Linked DNA regions of Arabidopsis thaliana. The protein of the gene in region 1 interacts with the protein of each later gene in a pairwise test. Each region holds a gene or a part of one and is shown on either strand. Other genes may lie near its edges. The genes, in order: AT2G27940 and AT4G17430.

Evidence for each region.
Region 2: the proteins of AT2G27940 (region 1) and AT4G17430 interact in a protein complementation assay, tested with the Arabidopsis thaliana proteins (one large-scale study listed by BioGRID).

Annotation. Positions count from the first base shown.
Region 1 is NC_003071.7:11,892,495-11,904,615, forward strand, and holds AT2G27940 (RING/U-box superfamily protein), read left to right. Parts: upstream 1-5,447; 5' UTR 5,448-5,468; coding exon 5,469-5,825; intron 5,826-5,891; coding exon 5,892-6,248; 3' UTR 6,249-6,373; downstream 6,374-12,121. Other genes in the region: AT2G27930 (PLATZ transcription factor family protein), read left to right, coding at 1-382, 842-994; AT2G27950 (Ring/U-Box superfamily protein), read right to left, coding at 6,928-7,045, 7,158-7,260, 7,384-7,549, 7,689-7,998, 8,085-8,963, 9,047-9,165, 9,853-10,677.
Region 2 is NC_003075.7:9,720,590-9,733,813, reverse strand, and holds AT4G17430 (O-fucosyltransferase family protein), read left to right. Parts: upstream 1-6,979; 5' UTR 6,980-7,012; coding exon 7,013-7,479; intron 7,480-7,556; coding exon 7,557-8,613; 3' UTR 8,614-9,104; downstream 9,105-13,224. Other genes in the region: AT4G17440 (chromogranin (DUF1639)), read right to left, coding at 5,155-5,286, 5,394-5,966; AT4G17420 (Tryptophan RNA-binding attenuator protein-like protein), read left to right, coding at 9,371-9,418, 9,672-9,731, 9,820-9,859, 9,949-10,127, 10,252-10,290, 10,374-10,469, 10,615-10,675, 10,759-10,886 and 2 more; AT4G17410 (DWNN domain, a CCHC-type zinc finger), read right to left, coding at 12,172-12,732.

The DNA.
Region 1 (12,121 bases):
TGCTTCTACTGCCGCTCCTCCTTTCACATTGATCATCCCGTCCTTCAGGTCCTTCATTTTCTCAACACACAATGCATACACATATATATATATATCACTTTTGACTCAATCCAATTCTTTATCATTAACATTGAGACAGATAAGAAGATCGTCGTATCATGATGTGGTGAGAGTATCGGAGATAGAGAATGCATTGGACATAAGAGGAGTGCAAACTTATGTCATCAATAGCGCGAGGGTTCTCTTCTTAAACGAGAGACCTCAGCCTAAGAACTCCTCCCATGGTGCCGCCTCCTCCACTCCGAAAACCATGTCCTACTTCTGTGAGACATGTTGCAGAACCCTTCTTGATCCCTTTCGCTTCTGTTCCTTGGGTTGCAAGGTTCGTTTTCCTACACCTTTTCTCAATGCAAAATTCCTTTTTGTAGCTGGATGGATAAATCATGAGCAAAAACCTGTAAACTTCATATCATAGAAAAACGAATGCATAGTTATAAGTCAATCTATCTAACGAGCACTTTACAACTGGACCAACAAAATTGGTTTATCATATTTTCATCATTATTACTAATATCTTCGCATTTATTTGTCCGATATAAAATGAGGAATCGGTTTAAGGATACACCGTATAATGTTTAGTTACTTGTATGGTAAATTCATTGAATCAACTATATTCAAACTCGCTTAATACATGTTGTTTGCCTCATATAATGTATCTTAAGAAAATATATACGAGGTTAGATGTTTGTATATATGTATATGGTACATTTTGCTCAAAAAAAAAGTATATGGTACATTTGCATAACGGAAATGTATGATGTGATCATAATAAAAATGTCAGGTTGAAGGAATGAGGAAGAATAAGGAAGAGGAAGAAGAAAGATTGCGTAAAGAAAGACAACAAGAAACGCACAAAGGCACGCATCCTCCAACTCATACCTCTAATTCTAGGCGACGAAAAGGCATTCCTCATAGAGCTCCTTTTGCCTCCTAATTTAATCAATCTTTTTCAAGAAATAAAATAAAACTTTTCTTTAACTTATTTTTATCTTTTTAAAATCATCAGTTAATGGTCCACCCAAACATAGCATAGTATATGCGTATTGGGTGGGTGTATTTATATATTCCCAATTTGTACAATGTCCAGCTCACTTCTCACAATCCTCTCACATGGAAAACCAACAATTTGTATAGAAGAAAATCCTAATTTCCCTATATTTTTTTTTTGTAAAACATTAAATACATTTCTAGCTAATTGTATAACATATATCTATACTGTAGGATTGTAGGATGGACTCTATTTGATATACTAATTAATTTTTGTGAAATATAAGTCTTACCTTTAAAACACATTATACAAAAATTAAGAGTTCAAAAAGACTCTTTGTGGAAGGAAGGAATAACATGAAAATTTAGGCATTAGTTAGACTATGAGAATGTCGGTGGAGATATACTGTATACTTTATTTCCGAGTAGATAATCTAATAACTAATCGATGTGGTGGTTTGAAGTTACCTGTCTCTATATCCATCTAGCTACTAAATATTTTAGTTTAGACTGAAATTGTGTGGGGTTTAGGGATCAATAATTGTGTATCTAAATGGTTTTTTTTTTCTTTTCTTTTTTTTTGGGAAAATATCTAAATGGTTAAGGGACATGAATGTGTATATGTTTTGTATAGACACATGAAATGTTCTTCGACATTAATTCTAAGCTGTTATATAATTAAAATAGTTTGTCGTAGGCGTTAGGTATTCGAAAGGTACAGTTACTTAAAAAAGAAAATGAAACTTTCACTTATTTACATAAATAATTTAAGTGGTAAAATTTTACGTAAAGGATGGTCTTATTTTAGTACGCATCGACCTTAATTTCCTTCACGTTCTACATAATATATTATGGCACTTTAAGAAAAAACTAGGTTATAACATTAATTATGAATTACGTGTTGTCGTTTCTCGAGAATAATTAGAGAATTGTGGAATTGTACAAAAGTAATAATTGATGCATAATGCATTGGTAGTATAATTCTCCAAGAGGAAGTCAAGCTCATGTTGCGGTTGTTGATCGCACTGCGAGAAGCATCGATCTCTTCAGCTTATAGTCAGATCGATTCTTGGATTCTTGATTCAGGAGCCTCTTTCCACACTAATGCTCCCTAGGACATAATGGAGAACTATGTTGCCCAAAATTATGAGAAGATATCTCTAGTAGATGGATTATCTTTGGACATTGTTGGTGTTGAAGACATTAACCTGAAGATGTCAGATGAGCTTGTATGGAAAATCACAAAGGTTAGACATGTCCGAAAGTGATGTGAAATCTATTTTTTGTTGGACAATTTGATGATACATGACACGATATCAATGTTGGTTGTGGAGCTTGAATAGTGACAAAGGGTTCCATGACAGGTACAAAAAGCTATAAAAGAGACACTATTTATATGACCACTAACTATGAAGATATATATAGTTGATGTTGCCGAAAATGCCTAAAACAAAACTGAGTTGTGGCATTATAGATTGAGGCATATGAGCGAGAAATGTATGAATTTCATGGTAACAAATGGTGAATCTCCAAATTTAAAGATATTAAATCACTACATGTATGAAAGTTGCATCCTTGGAAAGCGGAAACGGGTTAGGTTTTGAGTGATGGTAGGAAGTTGAAATCTAAGAAGTTGGAGCTAGTACAAAATAACTTGTTCGAACCTGCTTATGTTGCATCGCTAGGAGTATCACACTATTATGTGACTTTCATTGATGACTCCAGTATGAAGTTTACTTTATGAAGAACAAGTATGGTTGAGATAAATCTCAAATTGAGTGTCTAATATCTGATAATGGTAAAGAGTACATTTGCGGTGAGTTTATAAAATACTGCGCTGATAATAGGATTACAATGGAGAAAACTATTCCTGAAATGCATCATCAAAATGAAAAAGTGGAGATTGTGACTAGAATTTTGAACGAGCGTGCAAAAAACTTGTGACTCCAGTGTAGATTGCCTTTAGATATTTTGGACAAATGAAATCAATACCGCAACCTTCTTGAGGACCGTCTGTTATATTCCAATGGGATTCAAGATCCTTGAAGAAACTTGGATCCATTGAAATAGCCTTGTTTTTGTGGACTAAGATGAGAGAAAAATTGTCTTCTCTTAGCGTGTTATTCATGGTCATTAATTAATTTGTGAATTGAACTTAACTATTTGAATTTTTTATATTGATCTTGACCTTTGACTATTAATTTGATCCATTCATGAGCCAAACATATGTATTTTATGGGTCTCCGTGACATGGTGAGCTTCCAAAGAAATAAATTGGATTCATTGTGGATGGTACACTAACACTTGAGATTAATGAGAGAAATTTTTTTCAATAAAATTAAATATCTTAACAAATATGAGAGAAGAATATATATAATGAAATTAAATATATTAACAAATATGAGGAAAAATATATAATGAATTAAATATATTAACAAATATATTAAATATGTGTGTGTGTGTGAATAGTATAAATATTATTATGTAATGAGGAAAAATAAAATAACCAAGATGGGAAAATTTTTAATATGTTTCTTCTTCTTGTTTTTCATCTCCATCCAAAACATAGAATCCATTATAATACTTAGGACTTATTACATTGATATTTCGAATCATCTTGCAGGTAACAAAAAACTCATGATCATTTGTAGATCTGGAGATCAAGCGAGCCCACTTAAATTTCTTCCCTTCAATGTCATTTGGAGAATAAAATTTACAATTTACCCAAAAACTTTGATATGGTGCCACGTATGGAAGGTAGTTCAATTTCCACTGTTATCTCTTTCACATTGTTACACCTATAATTTTTTAACGATATATTCTTGTTTATATTTATGTTATTCATGTAAATTTTTTTATTACGATATCTTTCCAGGGACCTAATTATGTTCATCATGTAAAGTTTAACGCGTTTATTGCGAAGGAGAGTTTTATACATGATGTATGTGGAGGTCGGAAACCTAACGCATGTTTTTGGCAACCGAGAGAAAGCGGAATATGGGCACGAAATAATAGTGCTGGAACCCTTAAGTTCACGTATAAATGGGATATAAATACCAATATATCACCTTCTTATTAATTTTATATTTACTTAAAATATATAATTATTATTATACCAATATCTCATGTTACATTAAGAAATTAAACAATAAGAGTGAGTCACCAAAAGTTGGGTATTTTGTTTAATTCTGACGTTTTTCCTTACAACTTGTTTAAGTTGGGGACTAAATCCAATGTAAGCAATTAATGTGGAACAAAACTAAAACATTACAGTATTTTGCTTTCAAGTAACGTGCAACAAAACAAGGGCATCGAGAATTGGGGAAAAAAAATTGAAACCTGTAAATGAAAAGGTCCACTTAGAGGCAAACTAGCTAGATTCTGTTATAAACTTGAAATTCTCAGCATAGACTACAAAGGTGTAAACTCTAGTAGGTTTTTCAAACGCTTCAAAACCTTGGACTCTTAACTCTTTCAAGAGTCTTCCTTTCAGGATTGAAATAGAAAACAAAGAAAGGTTTAGATATATAGTCCATGGACAAAATAATTTCATGAGTAGCAGTCACTCCAACGCCGGAAGCATCTCCCTTAACGACTATATTCACCGGAAAAGTGTATACACATTCCAACCATTCTTGTTTCTTGGCATCCTCTTGTATCCACAAATACAAATAAAGCTTAGACCTAAGCCTTCTGGGATAAAAGTCAGTATACCAGTGCCAACTAATCACGCCTAATTAATTTACCCTTGTAATTTATCAGTTTAGTAGGCGACGATGGAACCAATAACTTCATAATACTAGAATCTGTCTTAAAAAAACTAAAATTTTCATTTCTAACATCAAAGCAAGCTATCTTCACAGTCTTTGCTTGTCCAGCAATGTAATACAAAACCTCATCGATGCATACCCCTTCACCTATAGGATAATGGTTTTCCGGACAATTCAGTTTTCTCCATGACATCTTCCGAGTTCCTAATGTCATAATATGTTCCTCTTCATTAGATACTCCATAAAGTGAATTTCTTATGTTTGATACTTTATATCGTTTGCCAATAGGATCATACCATAATAAGCTTCTTGATTAGCTATATTTAAATGTAATTTTTTTTTACTCTCTCTCAATTGGTCAAATTTAGAGGAGATAAAAAAAATTTACCACCCAATAATTGTTTCATTATTATTGGCTAAACTTAGGTGAGGTGAATAAAAAAAATGAACCCAATTTTCGTTCCATTAACATTCATTTACGTCGTTTTCTTAAATATGAGTACACATATATCAGTTTATTCATATAGTTAAACTAATATTTAAATACTAACATGTGCATACGTGTACGTTAATGTTATGAGTCATTTTACATTGTCAAGTAATAAAAATTGAAAATGAGAATTTCATTTTGTTTCTTAATAGACTTCAGTGATGGAGACCAAGCACCTACGCAAGCTTCTCCAGCTCTACCAAGCTTGTGGTGGCGAACAAGAGCTCACAAAAACCGTCCAAAACGTCACATCATCACCATTGACTCCAACGCCACCACCACAGCCACCTTCGGCATTAGACTCCACTATGGCTCTCACCATCTTTATCCTCTTGGTTGCTCTCTTCTTCATGGGTTTCTTTTCAGTTTACTTCCGCCACTTCGCAGACAGTTCAAGTTCAACGGTTGATATTTCTTCCATGCCAAGAACAAGATCCTCTAGGATGTCTCCACGTCGCCTTTCCACATCCGTCGTCGTATCACGGCCGTATAGTTTCCGGAGGGGTCTTGATTCTCAGGTAAATCCATTTCTCTAATTATCTTTCTCGGTTCTTATGTTAACCGGCAAGATTGGGACATTTCAGGCCGTTCGATCTCTGCCAGTGTACCGTTACACGAAAGCAGCGAAGCAGCGGAACGAAGATTGCGTTATCTGCTTGAGCGATTTCGAAGAAGGTGAAACAGTTAAAGTGATACCACATTGTGGTCACGTGTTCCACGTAGATTGCGTTGACACGTGGCTGAGCTCATACGTAACATGTCCCTTGTGCCGGAGTAACCAGCTGTTCTCGGATAAGGACTTGGGCATGCAAGAACCGCCTGATCAGGACTCGGCAGAAGAACATGACACGTGTGATGGTGTGGACACTTGTGTAAGGAGGTGTAGTAGCTGTTCAAGTTTGGGGCAGAGGACTGGATTGGAACGATCGCTGAGCCTCTGACATGTTCTTTTTTTTTTGTGTTGTTCTTAATCTTGATTTTGTCTTTGTATTATTGTTGTAATAAGGGAAGGGTATGAAATAATGACTTTGTAAAATGAGATTGAGTAGTAAATTTTGTTAGTGTTGCCAAAATATTATTTTATTCATTCCATTTTGTTTTATGAGATGTTTAAGAATAAAACAAAATTATGAGTTTCTGATTTTGTATTACTATTTTCCGTGGAAGGAAACGGAAAAATTGAAGCGAAATGTGTGGAAACGAAATTTTTGTTAGCATCAAGTGAATCAACCAATTTATTTATCCCCAAAAAATCAACCATACGTACACAATTTCGTAGTGTTTTGTCAAACACGGCTTCAGAGGCTCATTTCTTTGTGTCATCTGAAGTGTTGCACTTTTTAGATGTCTCTTTTTTTTTTTTTTTTGGATATGCATAAAAGTACAGGTAGTCACAGATAGTTCACTGCCACCAATTTCTATTGAATCTTTTGATGTTTCATGTGTATAAAAATAGTTAAGAAGTGTGTGTTTGTCTTTCTTACACCACGGATAAAATTAAGAGCCGAGTGAATCAGAGTAAATATCTATGCTAAAAACATCACAATCAAAGACATTTGATATCTGTAAAACCCAGAATCAAATAAGCAGAGCTTGGAGCCGTAGGAGAGCACAAGAGTTTCAAAGAATAGAGTAAGCACGAACTACCTCAATCACAGGGGCTTGACACATGGGACATTTTCCTCCCGCTTCCACTAGCTTCTTTGCACACTTCTCGCAGGTGTTCATATGTCCACATCTGTTGTTTACGAACGAAACAAGAAAAAAAAAACAGAGGAGTTTAGATATCAATTTGGGAACATGTTTAAAACAAATGTTGGTGTTTTCATGGTTCATAGTTTCATACGTACCTATACAATAAAGAGTCAATATTGCTCTCGCAGCATACGCAGCAGATCCCTTTCCTTACATATTCCCATTTTGACTCGTAACTCGCAGTGTCCTTGGATGGACCTGTGAATCGATTAAGGTGAGTCCACAAGAAAAAAAAAATAGTTGCATTCTTTGTTGTATACTGTTGTGACTTGTGAATCATCATATGTAAGGTCATAATGTGACTTGAGACTAATAGAAAACCTGGTTGGTCAGTAGAGCGGTGCATCGCAGCAGAGACCTCTTGTCTTATGGACCGTTGTAACTCGAGTTGCATTTCCATGCAAGCCTCTAGCATCCTCTGCAGGTTATCCATCCTTTGCTGTATTCTACCCATGTCAACCCTCAAATCGTTGATCGAATCCCAATCCTGCAGAGATATTGTTGATCAAGTTAACAAATAAGCGCAACAGCATATAAAATATCAACCAATGAGTTCCTTCATCTTTAGAAAAGACAATTGCTTTGGCACCCTTCACCCTAGGGATTAAGTTTGGGACTAGTCTTACCATTCCAATGCCCTGATGCAAATCATGTGCCGGCCAGTTTGAATGGGATCGATCATGGTCCCACCGTGGCTGAATAGGGATGACTGGGGAGGGTAGAGTCAAAGGAGGAGATTCAACAGCATCAAGTTCTTGACCACCACTCTGAGCATCATCCTGCTGTTCGGTATCTTCACCTACTATTGTATGGTCAGAATAAGTCTCGGCTTCTTCCCAGTCGACAGGATTTTGGCTTCGTCTGTCCATGTAAGATTGTATCAACTGGCTAAGATTTTCCCTAAACCCGCTCTGCAGAAGATTTGAGACACGTCTCCTGTAGTGCCCATAGCAAGCCATCAGATACATAAAATGAGGTTGAAAAGCGTCGCCATTACGGCAAAAATTTACTAGATATCTTACCTGCTCGAGAGTTCTCTGAGTTCCATGTTGTTCTCATTACCATCATCCGGAGGAAAGAATGTGGTAGCCCTTCCCATTGAAACTGTGTCCTGATCAGAATGTTCCTCTGACCAGTCTTGTATTGTGCTTTGAAGAGATGCAGCATCATCATCAGGCTGCATCTCTGTGAGTTCCCCGAGTATGTTGGCTTCTCTGTCCTCGTCCACAGATGATAACTGGGATAACTGATTTGGAAAATTCTCAGGAACATCTGTATCTGCCTCCTCTTCAGCGTCATCTCTCCATGCACTGGTTGCACCATTGATAAGTTGCCAATCGGATTCTTCGTTTTCCATCTGCTCCACGGTTTGTTCCTCTAGAGTGACAGTTAGGTTAATGCTTTCGCCCAGATTCTCCTGGAAATTTGTTGTCCGGTTTATCGGTCCCATGGTGGCAATTTCTTCAGAAATTTGCAGAGACTGTTCATAGGGTATCTCGATAGTTTCTCGTAATTGACAACCGTATCTGATCTCATCTCCATGAATTGAAGAGGATGAACACCCAGTAGCATTCAGGTCCACTTCCGTATCATTTCTTCTTTGAGAAAAATCATCAATTTCTGACCGTTGCCAGCCTTCTACACGTGCAGTCCTTTCTTCCAAACTTGTGCTCCGGCTACAACACCGTCCAGAGTTAGTTATCTCATCCAGTGAACTTTGGTTGTCAGCCTCTCGGCCATTTTGATCTGAACCACCGTCTGCATCATTGATGCTATCTAGACAATTCAGGTCGTTTTGTTCACCTCTATTATGATCAGTTTCAGCATTTGATGAGGTCTCAGAGTGACTACTGCTCGCTTGACCAGAGGCAGACCGGTCCAGTCTGGATATAAATTCCTCCCTAGCATATGACAAACACACAGTAAGCAAGGACCTTTTTAACACCTCTAAAATAGAATTTATTATTACAGAAGAATTAACTACCTCAGCTCAGATACAGTGTGCCTCTCTCTTAGAAAGCCCAACTCAGTGGCTGCAGATGATGTTGGTTTCTCTTTATCATCGTTGTCACCATTTCGCAAGAATCTCCCCCTTAGCAATGCCTGCAAAAGTAATTCAAATCATGATTTAAAGCTATGCCAACCAAAACCCAAGAGATAGAGTTGAGACATAGATTTAGCTCTTAACGCCTTCAAACAACCAATGTGCCAGTTAAGCTGACTGGTAATGATAGACAAAAAGATATCATATAAAATATAAAGAGATGCTCAGCATATCTATCACTACAACTCCTATGACACAAACGTCAAGTTAGAATCCCCTTAAGAGGAAGTATAAAATGACCAAAACGGGAAAGGAAGGTATATAGCAGGAAATAGAAGCTATCATAAACTCCCTCAAGTATGTCTCCAACCCCCATTCGACTATGAATTTCGTTATTCATTTTAGAAAAAAAAGTGACTACTAGACTTTCAGTCATTGTTCCTCTGACACAAGATGCTTATAATTGTATAAAGAACTAATGCTAATTATTGTTCCTGTATTTATTCCACATACACAAATAGCACAACATAGAATTAGGAAGGTTGGGGCGTCTTCACAATCTTTACGAATGTATCGGTAATTGAGTAGCCTGTGAATGTATCTGACAGTGGTTTTGGACAATATAGCACAGATTGATTTTTTCTTATTTGGGAATAGTTACTTAAAGATAACAATATCACATATTCAATGTCACCGAGACAAGTAACTGAGAGGTAAGAAACAGTCACAAAGTCTAATGAGCAAACCTGAATGCGGTTGCGATGAGCGAAGTTTGATACTGCATGATGCTGCATCAATCCCTCCAGCTCTCTTTGCCTTTCCATCTCAGCCATTTTTAACATATCCACCCACACTTGCCTACCACACAACTTGCGTATGCCTCTTCTAGCATGTTCATTCTGGATGCTGTTTGGATTAACAACTATTCCATCAAGTACTCTTTCAATCTGATTAGCACCTTCAATAGGTTGTTCTTCCCTGAGATCACCAAGAGCAGGCCTCTGCTGGCTATTCATCTGAACCATCTCCCTTATGATCCTCACCCTTTCTTGTTCAGTTTCACCAAGCCATTCTGCTCTTGAGCTGTTGGTTGCTTGGGAAGCAGAATCAGTATGCTGACCTGTCCCAGAGCTCGTCCACTCACGAAAAATCTGTCTAACTCTTTCCCTTTCACCCATCCCCAGATCAGAAAAATGCTCGCTCTGAAAAGGGCCGAGATCCTCACTCGAGTTATGTGACCCAACATGACTCTGGGTGGGAGACCATCCACCAAGTTCATTCTCACCCAGATTAACACTATCTCTAACAATATCATGTGCACTAATATTACTGTCACAACCATTTCCCCTCATAGTATTAGATGGTGAAGAAACACTCCTCCTCTCACCATCTCTCTCACGAGCATGACCCATCACATGATCATCCTCAAGTTCCCTCCACATCTGTAGGAGTGAGGATGCCCGGACGCTTGACCTTCCCTCATTTTCCCTTTGTCTAGTCGCCTGAACCTCAGAGTCCCGACGGAAAGATGAATCGATCACCAAAATATTTTGCAGACCAGCGATAGCCATTTGATCAATCTTTAACTGTATTAGCAAAAAGCCTAATTATCTACAAAATATACACAAAAACTGGCTTCTCCAGATAGAATTAGATCATCTCCTATGGTGCTCATCAATTTCAATACCTCAGATATTTCATCTGACCACGACTCTTAAAGCCGCGTTGCACTGAAATCATATGTTTATTATCGTCCAACAACATTCTCCACCAAAATATAGACTCCTTCTCTTTGCAGTGATTGCAGAATAAAGATTCCTTCCGTGAGGTTAAAACTTAGCTCCAAGCAAGCACCTGAAAATATTCACCATTCAAATGAATCAAATCCGAATTTCAAACAGATGATCTCTATATCAATCAGGTTACCGACTCTATGCTCGATTGCTGATAAAAATGGCGAAAAAAAAGAAAAAAAAATCAGATTCCCGATCACACTTATGAAGCGATTATGAACCCTAAATCTCACATTCTAATCCGTTTACGCAGTCACAGATTTATACGCTCGATAACAGTAACACAAACCTTGAATTGGATCTGAAATAAACAAAGATCCACAAAATCCGATCGAAAACCAAATCCGCAAAATTAGAGCTCCAGAAAGGAAAAAGGAGTAATCAGTGTTGGTGATGAAGCCAAAAACCCAAAGAATCCGCCATTAACAAATAAAAACCTAGCTTGAAAGGGGAAACACAAAATGAGAGAGACGTCATGAACGAAACCTACCAGTGAAGAGAATCAATATGGTGTGGCTTGGATTTAGGAGTGAAGAAACGGTCAGCTCCGAGAGAGAATTTAACCAGAAGAGAAGACGAAAGAGAAGAAGAGTGAATTGTGGAGAGGAGGAACATGTGGACCTCTCTGCTTCTTCGGGAAGAAAATCTTACCGTAACACGAACGTCTGGGGAAAAATAGACTACCGACTAATACCTGATTGACACGTATCATGCTTCCCAAAGTTGGTTTTTTTCTTTTTGGCTTCAACTAGTATGGAGTATTATTTTAAAATATATATAAATAAAGAAAAATATCAAAATAAACTCATATTTATGATTTGGATACATATCAATTTTTAGATATTTGGAACAAAATCTAGATAAGAAGATCTCATATGTTTTCTCTAAATCGATGGACTTTGGCTATCAATCCAAATATTACGATATTTTGCATATTTTGATATGAATCTGATAAATTTTGTCTTTAAACAAGTTTTTAAAACATGAAAAAAATAATCACAGAATTAGATTTTATACTATACCTAATTTTCGGAGTTGGGGTTGATATCAGATTCATATCAAAATCTCCAATAAGAGTAATGTAATCCATGCACATTTTTTATTTTGTTTTCATTTCATATGAAGTGTCATTTTTACACGACTCATTTAAATATTTGATTAAGTCTACAAAATAAAATTCATTTTGTACTTGTATCAATGTATTATATGTTACACTATTATT
Region 2 (13,224 bases), on another chromosome or scaffold:
GTATGCTAATGGAGTTTTGATGGGTGTTTTGGTTTACGTGGATGATATAATGATTGTGAGTAACAGTGATGATGCAGTGGCACAGTTTACTGCAGAATTGAAGTCTTATTTCAAGTTGAGAGATTTGGGTGCAGCTAAGTACTTTCTTGGTATTGAGATTGCACGTTCAGAAAAAGGGATTTCAATTTGTCAAAGGAAGTACATTCTGGAGCTGTTATCTACTACAGGTTTTCTTGGTAGTAAACCGTCTTCGATTCCTTTGGATCCAAGTGTTAAGCTGAATAAAGAAGATGGTGTTCCTTTGACTGATTCTACCTCTTATCGAAAGTTGGTTGGAAAGTTGATGTATTTGCAGATTACAAGACCTGACATTGCATATGCTGTCAACACTTTGTGTCAGTTTTCTCATGCTCCAACAAGTGTTCATTTGAGTGCTGTTCATAAGGTTCTTCGTTATCTCAAAGGCACAGTTGGACAGGGTCTTTTCTACTCTGCAGATGACAAGTTTGACTTAAGAGGTTACACGGATTCAGACTTTGGTTCTTGTACTGATTCTAGGCGTTGTGTGGCTGCTTATTGTATGTTCATTGGAGATTATCTAGTCTCATGGAAATCAAAGAAGCAAGATACAGTCTCTATGAGTACTGCAGAAGCAGAATTTCGAGCTATGTCACAGGGCACTAAGGAGATGATTTGGCTTTCCAGACTTTTTGATGATTTCAAGGTACCATTCATTCCTCCAGCCTATCTCTATTGTGATAATACAGCTGCTTTGCACATTGTCAACAATTCGGTGTTCCATGAGCGCACCAAGTTTGTGGAGCTTGACTGTTACAAGACAAGGGAAGCAGTTGAATCAGGTTTTCTTAAAACCATGTTTGTGGAGACTGGAGAACAGGTGGCAGATCCTCTAACCAAAGCTATCCATCCAGCTCAGTTTCATAAGCTCATTGGCAAGATGGGAGTGTGCAACATCTTTGCCCCACTGCCATCTTGAGGGGGGGTATTAGCTTGTATATACTTAGTCTATACTTGTATATAATAGCAGTGATTAAGGGCTCGGTATAATCCCGGTTTATTCATCTAATTAAGGTGAATCTCTGGTTTATTATTGGTTTAGTTGGTTTGTTGTCTATACAACATTGTAACAAACTTTCAAGATTATTAATGAGAAATTGAGCTTTTACCAATTTTCTCTCGAGCATGGTTCCTATTAACCCCCTTTAAACAATGTAATTTGAAGCTAAGAAATGACGTCTAATCACTCTTTTAAAAAGATCAAGCACTACTTGGTAGAAAAAAAAGAAAATCATGGATGTTTATAACTAATTGACATTATAGGTCCTTGTGCATAATACTTTAGCCTTTAGGTCTTGTCTACACTTCGATTATGAATTTTTTTGAACACATGTAGTCTCATTCAATATACGTAATTACGTATAAAGTAAATTAAGATCCACGTATAAAAACTTTAATAATACAAATCGTATTTTCTAATGTTGTAATCATTTGAGGCGTATATATATGGTTTGCTTTTATAGTAGGACTAATAATTATCAATTTACATAATCATATTTGATGCGTAGCTTAATTATTCTCTACAGAAATTGGCTGTAGGTTAATGTCATCATTGGGGAACTTTATATGTTTGGACCTAACTTCCCCATTATAGTCGAATATTATATATTCTCTAGTACATGTAATAATGCGAATGTTTAAACACTTCAAAGAAAATACTCATTGACATCGACATAATGAATAAGAAAGAGGCCTAGCAATAAAACGAATGATATGTAATTTGAATTTGACGTTTCATATAGTATAGTTAAAATGTTTGATTCTTGATTATTAAACATGATTTTAACGCATCAAATGGTATGAATATTACTGCTACATGCATATGCATAATTATTGAGATTCTAGCATCATGATTATTCAGAAATGGTTTTGGGAATCTATGTTTTTAAATAAAGAAATAGTTGGTGTACAAAATGAAGCTTCAAGGAATGCTTGTAATTAAAAAAAAAAAAAAGAAGAAGAAAGGACCAAGTTGGCTCGTGCGATATATCCTCCCATGTGGAACCGACGTGGCGCACACATTCCTAAGAGAACCACACCACCCATGACAGCGAAGCACACGTGTGCTCTTGTCCACCCACACGTGCATTCTTGGTCAAAATATTCCTATGTTCTCTTGGTTGTCCTCAGTCAATGGTCAAACTTCTATAATTTTATTTGGTTGAGTAAAATAGGAAGAAGTAGCCAACTCTCTCATTAGAAGAATGTGGCTTCCTCTCTTTGGGATTTTCAAAGATGGCTTATCAGTTTCAGATGCTATAATTTAGTTCTTTTTACTAATTGGCTTCAGGTTCAGCCCCTTGGACAGGTTGATAAGCCACTAATATTACTAATATGTCCATTCAGAAATCTTGAATAATGAAACCAACTAATATTTCCCTCAATTTCGTTCGTTTTGGATCTATAAGATTTGAAAATTGGCTTGATCATAAAAGTGGAATAGTTTTGAAACATGTTCTCCGAAAACATATGGTTTCCTAGTTACATATTTTAATTCTTCTAATGGCGGTGAGCTGTGGTGGTCATGTGGATTCATCGGTTAACCAAAAATCGTTTGGGATATTTTTCGGTTGTAATGACACGTGCACTAATATATACATACGGACTCATTTAACTACCTTTAAATAAATAAATAAAAAAAACTACCTTTAAATAATACTCCCATCTAACGATTGCTTTAAAATAATTACTGGGTAAAAATGAGGTAAAAATGAACTCTAATAGTTTATCTTATGGATTCTGATGTACCATTTTATGGAGAAATTATATACATGATTTTAAAATGGCCACCAAATTAAAATGAACCATCCTAAAAGTAAAATAAAATAGAACTAAACCCATGAATTTATGGTTCTAATTAGTAGTAACAAAAAAATTCTACATTTTTGTAATTATTATTGACTTTTGTAGATTGTCACTATTTATGTGTTGTTAATATATATGTTCTTCCTCTAGTTAACTGATGATTAAAAAAACCATCGTCGATTACACAATTCTCTATCAGGTCCTAGTTCTGGTAGACGTGAAATTATATTATGGTTTGATTGGTCGAAAATAATTTGGATATTTTAGTAGAAATGGAGGGCACTCATGGAATTTAGGTTTAGCCCCTAATTTTCCACTGCGTGACAGAGTAAGGAATCGTTTTTTTGTGCCATTGTGTGTGGTTGGTCGTTGAAAGAATACATATCTCAAGTACAACGAGGACTGTGTATGACGTCGATAAAGCAATTAATGGCACATGATATATTACCAATCACATCATTTAATTTATTAGTATCATCATCATCGTCATTGCATTATCTTACATTCCTAATGTTATGTTTAGAAAAGTACTTAATTTACTCCACATAATCATTAACTTCTATCACAACAATTAATCTCTAAGTAAAAGACAAGCTACATAATATGATAAAAAAATAAATGGACATGCGATCATCTTCGGTTTTGTTCTTGGTTTGGATTCAATTACGTTTAAAATTTGATATCACTTTTTCTCTTTTAAATTAAAAGATTGAAACTGTATATGATACTTTTGTGGCTGTGTGTGATGTAATCGGTGAAAGTTGTTCTCGAATGAATTGGCTTTTTGGAAACAAGAGGAGCCCACTGAGAATGATACTCTTCATTGATTATTCGGCAAAGAACTACATGTAATAATGATTAAGTTTTTGAGTCGGAACTAATTTTTTAATTTTCTTAAAAAGAAACAATTAAAACCGACAAACTGACCATTTGGCTTCGCTGTAGAAGAGCATAAATGGCGAGAGTCAAATGATTGTGGACTAGAATCATCATGTGATGAAAATGAAACACAAAAGGCCTAAGATAACCAATTATATGCTCTAACCCCTATATAATCATTCCCATTATAGTAATAATGAGAAGAGTTCATAATTAATGGAACAAACCTTCTTCAAAGTAAGCATGCTCTTGCAAATTAAATACTAAAATTTACAAGAAATCACATTTTCCTAAAAAAGAAAGAGAAGTCGTAACTGGTGGTATTCTAGGGCCTTTTGGATTTGAAATCATGAATATTAGCCCATTTAGCTTATTGTGGTTTAGGTACTCCATTCTCACATTAGGACTTCAAGCCTTAAGATGCAATCACATGAATATGAACTGTGAGCCATTTTCTTTATGCAGGTTGTTGTTAAGTGGGTATGCAGATTTTTTAAAAAATACAGTCATACAGAGGAAACAACTGTGTGATTAATAAACCAGCGTAAAAGCAAAAACTACACTCTTAGTTTCACATTTTTGGAATAATTAGAAACATTAATGCAGAACTGTAACTATTTTTAGCCGTCTTCTCAAAGTTATCTGCAGGTTTTTAATTTGCTTTTATTCTCTTAGAAACCTTATTGTACTTAAAAAAACTTATATGGATCTTAATACACTTTCTAACTATGTGTGTTAATAAGAGTTATATATGGTTTAATAAATCATTGTCTGTGCTAATAAGAGTTATAAATGGTTTCAAAAAACCCTTTTTAAACATAGATTATGTTGTTTTCCTCTGCCATTAAACTTAGACGCATCTTAATTACTAACTCAAAAACAAACCCCTCTCGCTCTCTCTCTTTATATATATCTATAATTATATGACCTTACCGATATTTACTTATAGTTTAGTTACTACTAAGTTTGATATGAGACAAGAACATGTCTCTTGAGATATCTTCTTCCTAGCTTCTACTGTGATGTATCTGGATTCTCGATCACCAGCATACCTATCTACCCTGCAACAAAGCAGAAACAAAATCCAACTACTTAAGCACAAACCTCAACAAGATCAAGCAATGTAATATCATAACAACGTTACCATATATCCATGAAAATGATAAGTTTCAATTAGGGAGATGACTTCACCTTTTTCCTTCACCAAAAGACTCCTTTGCATCGATCATCACTGCAAATGGAATACAATCGCTGTTACGGGTTTTGTATCATTAAAGCAGCAGTACCATTAGGTTACGTAAAGCTAACATAGAATGAAACTTCATAAAATCTGTAATAGCACCTAAAGGTCTAGACTTTCATCCATTTCATACTATCTACAGATCAATGTAGCTAAAGGGCAGGTTGATCCAAGCTTTCATCGAGCAAGTAAGTGGACTGATCAAAGCTAACCTTAGCCGGAGAAGTGGCTACTCTGAAGCAATCAGCATTCATCCCAACGAGACCCAATCCAGGGAAAATGACCTACAATGGCAGACATTGAATTGCCTAAGAAAATGGAGACACTAAAAAAACGTAGTCATTGTTTTGAATTCTCTGTGAGGCAATTCGTCGAACACCTGGTGACTTACATCGAGATGTTTCTGCATAGCTTTTGCCCTCTTCCTTGGCCGGCGAGATGACCTGTTCCCACTCATGCTGAACAAATCTTCTTCGATCTCGTCTCGAGCTAGAGCAACCCAAAGCCTATGATTCTCGTTTGCAACCTCACCACCGCCTAATCCGGGTGATTCCGCCGGGATTCCTCTCTGCCTGTTCGATTTCGGCTCAATTCCTGCGCCTGATTTCTGATTCTTCACCTCCGAACCTCCTCCTCCGCCGCCACCGCAAACCTCCGCCGTGAACACGCCGTTTCCTTTCTTCGAACCACCATAAGCCTTCCTCGGACGAAGATTCCACGTCCTCTTCGCTTCCTCCTCCTCCGTTTCTTCTCTCTCCTTCACCGACACCGGCACTTCCTCTCTCGCGGGAGAAATCTCATCGGATTTCAGCTTCTTCAGGTTATCGTGCTCTGATGAGGGAGCAAAGGAGGAGAAAGAGAGACGCGGCTGACGACTTGACCGTGACGCCACGACACGGTTAGAAACAGCCACCGTCTCCGCCGATTGAGAAGCAGACCTCTCCGACTTGGAATTCGCAGACATTGGTATGAGATTATACCAAAACGTATTCACCTGAGAGATGATCAAAAACCCTAGAAGGTAAAAAGCAGAGAGGAGAGAGAGAGATGTAGGAGATTTACGGAAGCTGATGCATGCGTAAGTTTCTAATTATGTTTTTATTCATGGGGTGTTATTGGTTTATGATTTCAAAAGACTTTTAGTGTTTTAAAGTGTTATTTAGAATTTATTGTTATTCGATCACGATTTGTTAAAAGTATGTTATATTTTGTTGGCTAAAATAAATCATTAGTTAATTATTTTATATCCTGATATATCAACATCAATTATCATCCTTCTGATATGGGGATTAATATATGTTAACAATAAATCCAGAAAATTACGTTTAGATTTAGACATATAAATAAAGAGATCTTAAAGAAAAGAAGAGAAAAAAAAGAACCCGTAAAAAGCTTAAAAGACTACAACTGCTTAAGTCTATCAATGATGATCAATATATTCATGTAAGTGCTAAATAGGTTAATTTCTCTAGTGAATTCGATTTTGGACTAAAAATCAACAAATATTAGATCATCTAGTGAATTCGATTTCTCTAGGCCATCAAAGAATATTATTAGTTAGGTCCAAAGACCTAAATTTATTTTTGTGTATAAATTTAATAAAATAGAAATTTACATTTTGATATTTTTAATATTATTTTGGTGACAAAATATTTAGAAATTTTTTATATTTTTAAATATTCTTTTATTTTCATATATTTTTTATTTTATTTTACAAAAATTTAAAAAGAATAAAAATAAAAATAAGTTCATAAATATTAATTAGCAAGATATCTAATCTCCATTGCTTGTTTAAAATGTTATGTGGACGCGCAAATAGCTTCGTATAGATTATGTTACAAAAAGATTTCTAAAATTAACTATGTTTAAGTTCGTATTATTTTAGTTAAGGCCCATCAGAGAATATTAGTTAGGCCCAAAACAGTGACACTCACCGTTTTGGCATCTTCTACACATGAGCAAAACTAGACGCAACGCAATGATGGCGACTAAAACCTCAGAGCAAAAAACATGAACAACTTCTTCAATCCCAGTAGACCAAGCCCACGTCCATGGCCAAACAGGAAGAAGCAAACCGACAAATCTGCGATATTTCTTTGCTCCGTTTCTATACTTGTTGTGTTCTTCATCGTCGTCTTCTTCATCACTTACTCCGAGATGCCCAAGTCCTTGTTCTCAATCTCTGCATTTTCTGGATCCGTTCAATTCCCTCAGTGCAGATCCGAGATACTAACCCGAACTCTTCTAGGTCAGAAGTTTCTCTGGTACGCTCCTCACAGTGGATTCAGTAATCAGCTATCGGAATTTAAGAATGCGCTTCTTATGGCGGGAATTCTTAATCGGACCCTAATTATTCCTCCGATTCTGGATCATCACGCCGTTGCTCTCGGTAGTTGTCCTAAATTTAGGGTTTTGAGTCCCAGCGAGATACGAATCTCAGTTTGGAATCATTCAATTGAGCTTCTTAAGACTGACAGGTACAAAATCTCTTTTTTTTTTCGTAATGAGTTTTAGTAATTTGATCAATGTGGGTGACAAATGTTGGTGTTTATAGGTACGTTTCGATGGCTGATATTGTAGACATTTCGTCGCTGGTATCTTCTTCGGCTGTTCGAGTCATTGATTTTAGGTACTTTGCATCACTACAGTGTGGTGTTGACTTGGAGACTCTATGCACTGATGATTTAGCTGAACAGTCTCAGGCTTATGAGTCACTGAAACAGTGTGGCTATTTGTTATCTGGAGTTCGTGGTAATGTAGATAAATGTTTGTATGCTGTGGATGAAGATTGTAGAACCACTGTTTGGACTTATAAAAATGGAGAAGCTGATGGGAGATTAGATTCGTTCCAGCCTGATGAGAAGCTCAAGAAGAAAAAGAAATTGTCCAACGTGAGAAGGCGAAGAGATGTGTATAAGACTCTTGGACATGGTACAGAAGCTGAGTCTGCAGCTATTCTAGCATTTGGGAGCCTCTTCACAGCTCCATACAAAGGCTCAGAGCTGTATATCGATATCCATAAATCTCCAAAGATAAAATCTTTGGTTGAGAAGGTCGATTTCCTTCCTTTTGTTCGAGAGATAATGATCGCGGGAAAGAAATTTGCTTCAGAAACCATAAAGGCGCCGTTTCTTTGTGCACAACTTAGATTACTAGATGGCCAGTTCAAGAATCATCGGGAGAGCACTTTTACGGGTTTATATCAGAAGTTGGAAGCTTTGAGCGTTAAGAATCCTGGTCTAATTAATGTGTTTGTAATGACAGACCTTCCTGAATTTAACTGGACCGGAACTTACTTGGGTGATTTGTCTAAGAACTCTACAAATTTCAAGCTCCACTTTATAGGGGAACAAGATGAATTCTTAGCGCGAACAGAGCATGAACTTGATTCAGCGAGTCACGGCCAGAAATTTGGGTCTATTCCGATGAGTCTTGATAGTATAAAAAAGATGCAGACCCATTGTTACCCTCATGGAGGATCCAATGTGCAGCTTTACATAGAGGAAGCTGTTTGTAGCTGTGCTTCACTGGGTTTTGTTGGTACTCCAGGGTCTACAATAGCTGATAGTGTAGAGATGATGAGGAAATACAATGCGTGTAGTAGTAGTTGAACTCAGACTGCATTTCTATTGGATTCATCTGGTGGATGAGCCAATGTGTAGTGATTTTATTAAGTTTTGCCGGTCTTTGTATAGAGATGGATAGAGATAGATGATAGATCTGTCATCTGTCTCCACTTGAAGTTATTGGTGATGAAAACAGGCTCTTAAATTGTTTTGTGTTGTTAAGTTATTTGGGAAACTATCTAAGTTTCTTATTAATAGATGAAGCTACTTGGTTCCTTTCTGATTATTCACACACAACAATGGAAGAGTAAAGGTTGCGTGGGATGGTTGCTTAGTAAAGGTTTTGTGAGTTCTGTAGATGTCTCTAGTGGTCGACAAGATTTGTAATTGTTGTACCAATGTCTTTAAACCGGCTATTGAATAAGAAATTTTGTACCAAATAAATCTAGTGAAAGAGGGTTGGTTGAGAAGAAATGTAATTATATTAAACCGGAAATGAAATTTTACGTCGATGTGTATTTTGTGACCAATGAGATCTCTCCACGTAAACAGATTCCACGTGCAGCTTCAGGCCGATTTAAGCGAATTTAATCTGTCGTTTTGTTGGGTTCCCGTCGGTGACATCCACCGCGAACATTTCGACCGGAGTTTTGAGAGAGCTCAGAGTGTTTCGAGTGTGTTATTTGGATCTGCGATCTGATCGTCTCGCATCGACGTGAAAGGTTTTCTAATCCAATTGGTTCTGTGGAAATTTGGATTCGGAGGTTTTTGTTTGGAAGATCTTTCTGCGGTTTTCACCGCCATGGCTGCTCCGTTTTTCTCTACTCCATTTCAGCCTTATGTCTATCAGGTTTGTCTTCTATCTTCGTTCTCTTCTCGCCTCTTAGATTCGTATTCTTGTCTGTCACTATCGAGAAGGCTAGTGTTCGAATATACTTCTTCGCGAGTATTTTAGGATCCTTTCTCATGTAGGTGTTGAGTAATGTGATGTGTACTTACATCTAATTCAGTGATAATGCTAATAAGCTATTTCCTGGGTGAGAAATTGATCTCTTGAATGTGTCTGTGGGAGTATGAATCTCACAAGTGGTTATATGATGCAGAGTCAAGAAGATACGATCACACCTTTCCAAATTTTGGGTGGTGAAGCACAGGTTGTTCAGGTAGGTCGACATTTTATTTTGTAGTCTGGGCATTTTGTGTTTATGTGATTGACATATATACTCAAGCATTTGATTGTTTTTTTGACAGATAATGTTAAAACCACAAGAGAAGGTCATTGCTAAGCCTGGTAATTTCCATATTATGATTCCTCATTAAGTTTTGTAAGATCTGTTGGGTTGGATTGTATATGTTAACTGATTATATATGGTTCTTTAGGTTCAATGTGCTACATGTCTGGGTCCATTGAGATGGATAATACTTATACCCCTGAACAAGAAGTTGGAGTTGTACAATGGATTTTAGGAAAGAGTGTTAGTAGTATAGTTCTTCGTAACACTGGGCAAAACGATGGATTTGTTGGTATCGCTGCACCTTCTTTGGCAAGGATTCTCCCAGTTAGTGGTTCTTACTTGCCATGATTTCCTTCCGTAGTATTTAGTATCTTGCTTGATATAAGTATATCTCCTTATCTCGTTCTTATGTGTTTTGGTGACCTTTGGCTTGTTTCTTTCCGTGAAGCTTGATTTGGCAATGTTTGGTGGGGACATCTTATGCCAGGTAGAGCCGTCAATCTTTAGCTGCTTGGCTCTCAGCTTTTTCCTCCTCATTCAATGATGTGACTTTTTCTTGTTGTTGTGTAGCCAGATGCATTTCTCTGTTCTGTCCATGATGTGAAGGTCGTAAACACTGTGTATCAGAGACATCGAGCAAGAAACATTGCTGCAGCTGGGGCTGAGGTAAGGAAAACAATACATTGCATTGGCTTTTGGCACAGTTCATTCAAAACTTAAGAGTTATACCTTTCCTAGTTACTTCTTGTAGATGCTACTATGTGAAAATTTTATATATGTTTGGCTTGAAGTCAGAGAGTCGTTGTTGTAGGGGGTTCTGAGACAAAGGCTTTCTGGTCAGGGTCTTGCTTTTATTATCGCTGGCGGCTCTGGTATGCAACTAAAGTTTATCTCAACTTACTGCTCTTTAGGTTTAGGCCTTTTAAACTGATCCTACTCCATTTGCTTCATAAAGTTGTACAGAAAAACCTGGAGGTGGGAGAAGTTCTCACCATTGACGTTTCTTGCATTGCCGCTCTCACTCCGTCGATCAATTTCCAAATCAAATACAATGCTGCTCCTGTAAGACGGGCAGTTTTCGGGGTATGTTATGTTTCTTCCTTATCCATTACAAACAATATGTATTAAGGTTGGTCCTTTTGTGTCAAACTTACAAATCATCTACATTTTGTCAAAAAAAGGGTGATAATGTAGTAACAGCAACTCTAACGGGACCAGGCATCGTGTTCATCCAAAGTTTACCGTTTCATCGACTCTCGCAGCGAATTGCAAGGTTAAGAATCGACAATCTCCTCTTGGTATAAATAACTATGGTTTCTTGTACTAGACTCAGCAAGGGTTTTTGCTTGCAGGTCGGTGACGTCCCCAAATATGAGAGAAAATCCAAGATTATTAGTTCAAATAGGGTTATTCATATTTCTTGCATACGTTGTAATTGTGTCCTCTTTAATCCTTACTGAAATGTGAAATACAGAGGTGCACTCACATTTGTATCCTCTTTTGCTATATATGGGATTTACTACACCCATATCACCTTTTGTATTCTCTTTTGCTATTAACCTTTCTCAGATTCATGTTGGCAGCAGTGGCTGGGATGTTTATTGTGAACAGATACTTGAAATCATTCATATAGTCGAAATAGCCTTTGAGATCCCTAAAACTTTCATCATCTTCCACATGATTAACTTTGCTAGAGCACAATATCTTAACCTTAGCTTCAGCAGAGTAAAAAAAAATTCTTGAAATATCAAAAGACAAATTTGTCTTATGTTTCAATTAAAACCCTTACACGAAAACAAATAAATGCCTAATTTAACATTTGGTATCAACCTAATTAATTTTTAAAACTTTGTTGTTAAATCTAATGTGCCAAAATGGATGCTCAAGTGTTAAATTCTTGTAAGACAAAACCTCTCTATTAATGAGTTCCAATGTGTACATCTGAAATTGCATCTCAAACGATGTAAGAATGAAGTGCTTAAACGTATGCTACTCAATATTAGGCTAATTCGTACTCAATTTCAACCAGTATTTTAACATATACTAACATCATATAAGTTTAAAATCAAATATCACAAATTATTTCAAAAAGATGACCCGGCTGGTATTTAATTAAATAAGAAGTCATACAAATCTTTCTAAATAAAAAACCGAAGATAGTGAGAAATAAAGACCCATTAATATTACACATATTCGATTACATATGACTTTTTTCTTTAACTCATGCAACAAAACATCTAGTCATCTTCCATCTCTGAGTCATAGGGCATTCTCGTCATAGTACCAGGCCATGGGTTCGTCTCCGTGAAGATAATGAAGGGCGTTTTAGTCATTTACGCACACATTTGAATCTTCTTCATTCTTCGAATCAAGCTCGCGCTCTTTCTCCTTTAGATCGCTTAGAATGACGGAAATGCTCATCACCGGCGTCAGAAGGTGCAACCGAAGGAGATCGCTTGTACCTTGATGGCTTCCTCTTGAAATGTCTGTCTTCATCATCACTTGAATCGTATTCCACCATCTCTCTTTCTCTTCGACTGTGATGACGACGACCCGATGAAACTGGGGCGACTGAGCTCTCTGGAGGCGCTGGAGAAGACTTTGATGTCTTTCGTTGTTTGCCAGAAGATTCCTCTGGAAAGCTTATCCGAGTGAACACGTTAGACTTATTGTTATCGTCTATCTCTACAGTTGGATCCGATGATGACTTTTCGGATCTCTTACGGTGCTTGCGATCTGTCTCTCTGGGACGGTCACGGCGGCGGTCGTGTTCGGAATCGAGGTCATGGTGACGATCACGCTCAGATTTCCTGCTGGATGATCGAGGAGGAGAGGTGAACCTTCGAGATGACTGACGCTCCGGTGACGATCTATCCGATCGCCTGCGACGGTCGTAATCAGACGAAATCGGCGGCGGAGGTCCTTGTCTCTGTTTATTCAAGAACAAGGCCATTATTGGTAAAATAACAGAAAAGAAATTTAAATCTTGAGCCCAATAAGAGATATATTGGGCCCAACCCATTTATCTTTTACTTTACTCTAAATAGCTTATTTAACGAAGAAACAAAGAAAAGAGAAAGCAAACAAAGGTTTATACTTTATAGCTTCCCAGTAAAATCTTAATTTTGCAGGATAAAGAGTGACCACTACTATCCTTACACGTGGATTACAAACGTGTTTTGGTTTCAAAATATAAAAAGACGTATTTAATATAGTCCTGATTTAATATGATTTTGATATCAGTATTTAACGTTTACTTTAAAAATAAAGTAGATCAAATATCTACATTTTAATAGATAACAAAAATTTAATATTGTAAAAAAAAATTTCGTCAAAAAAAAAAAAAAAAAAAAAACTATTTAGGTAAAATATAATGTTAGAAAAATAATATTTTATAAGGTCGGCAATATAAAGCCAACTG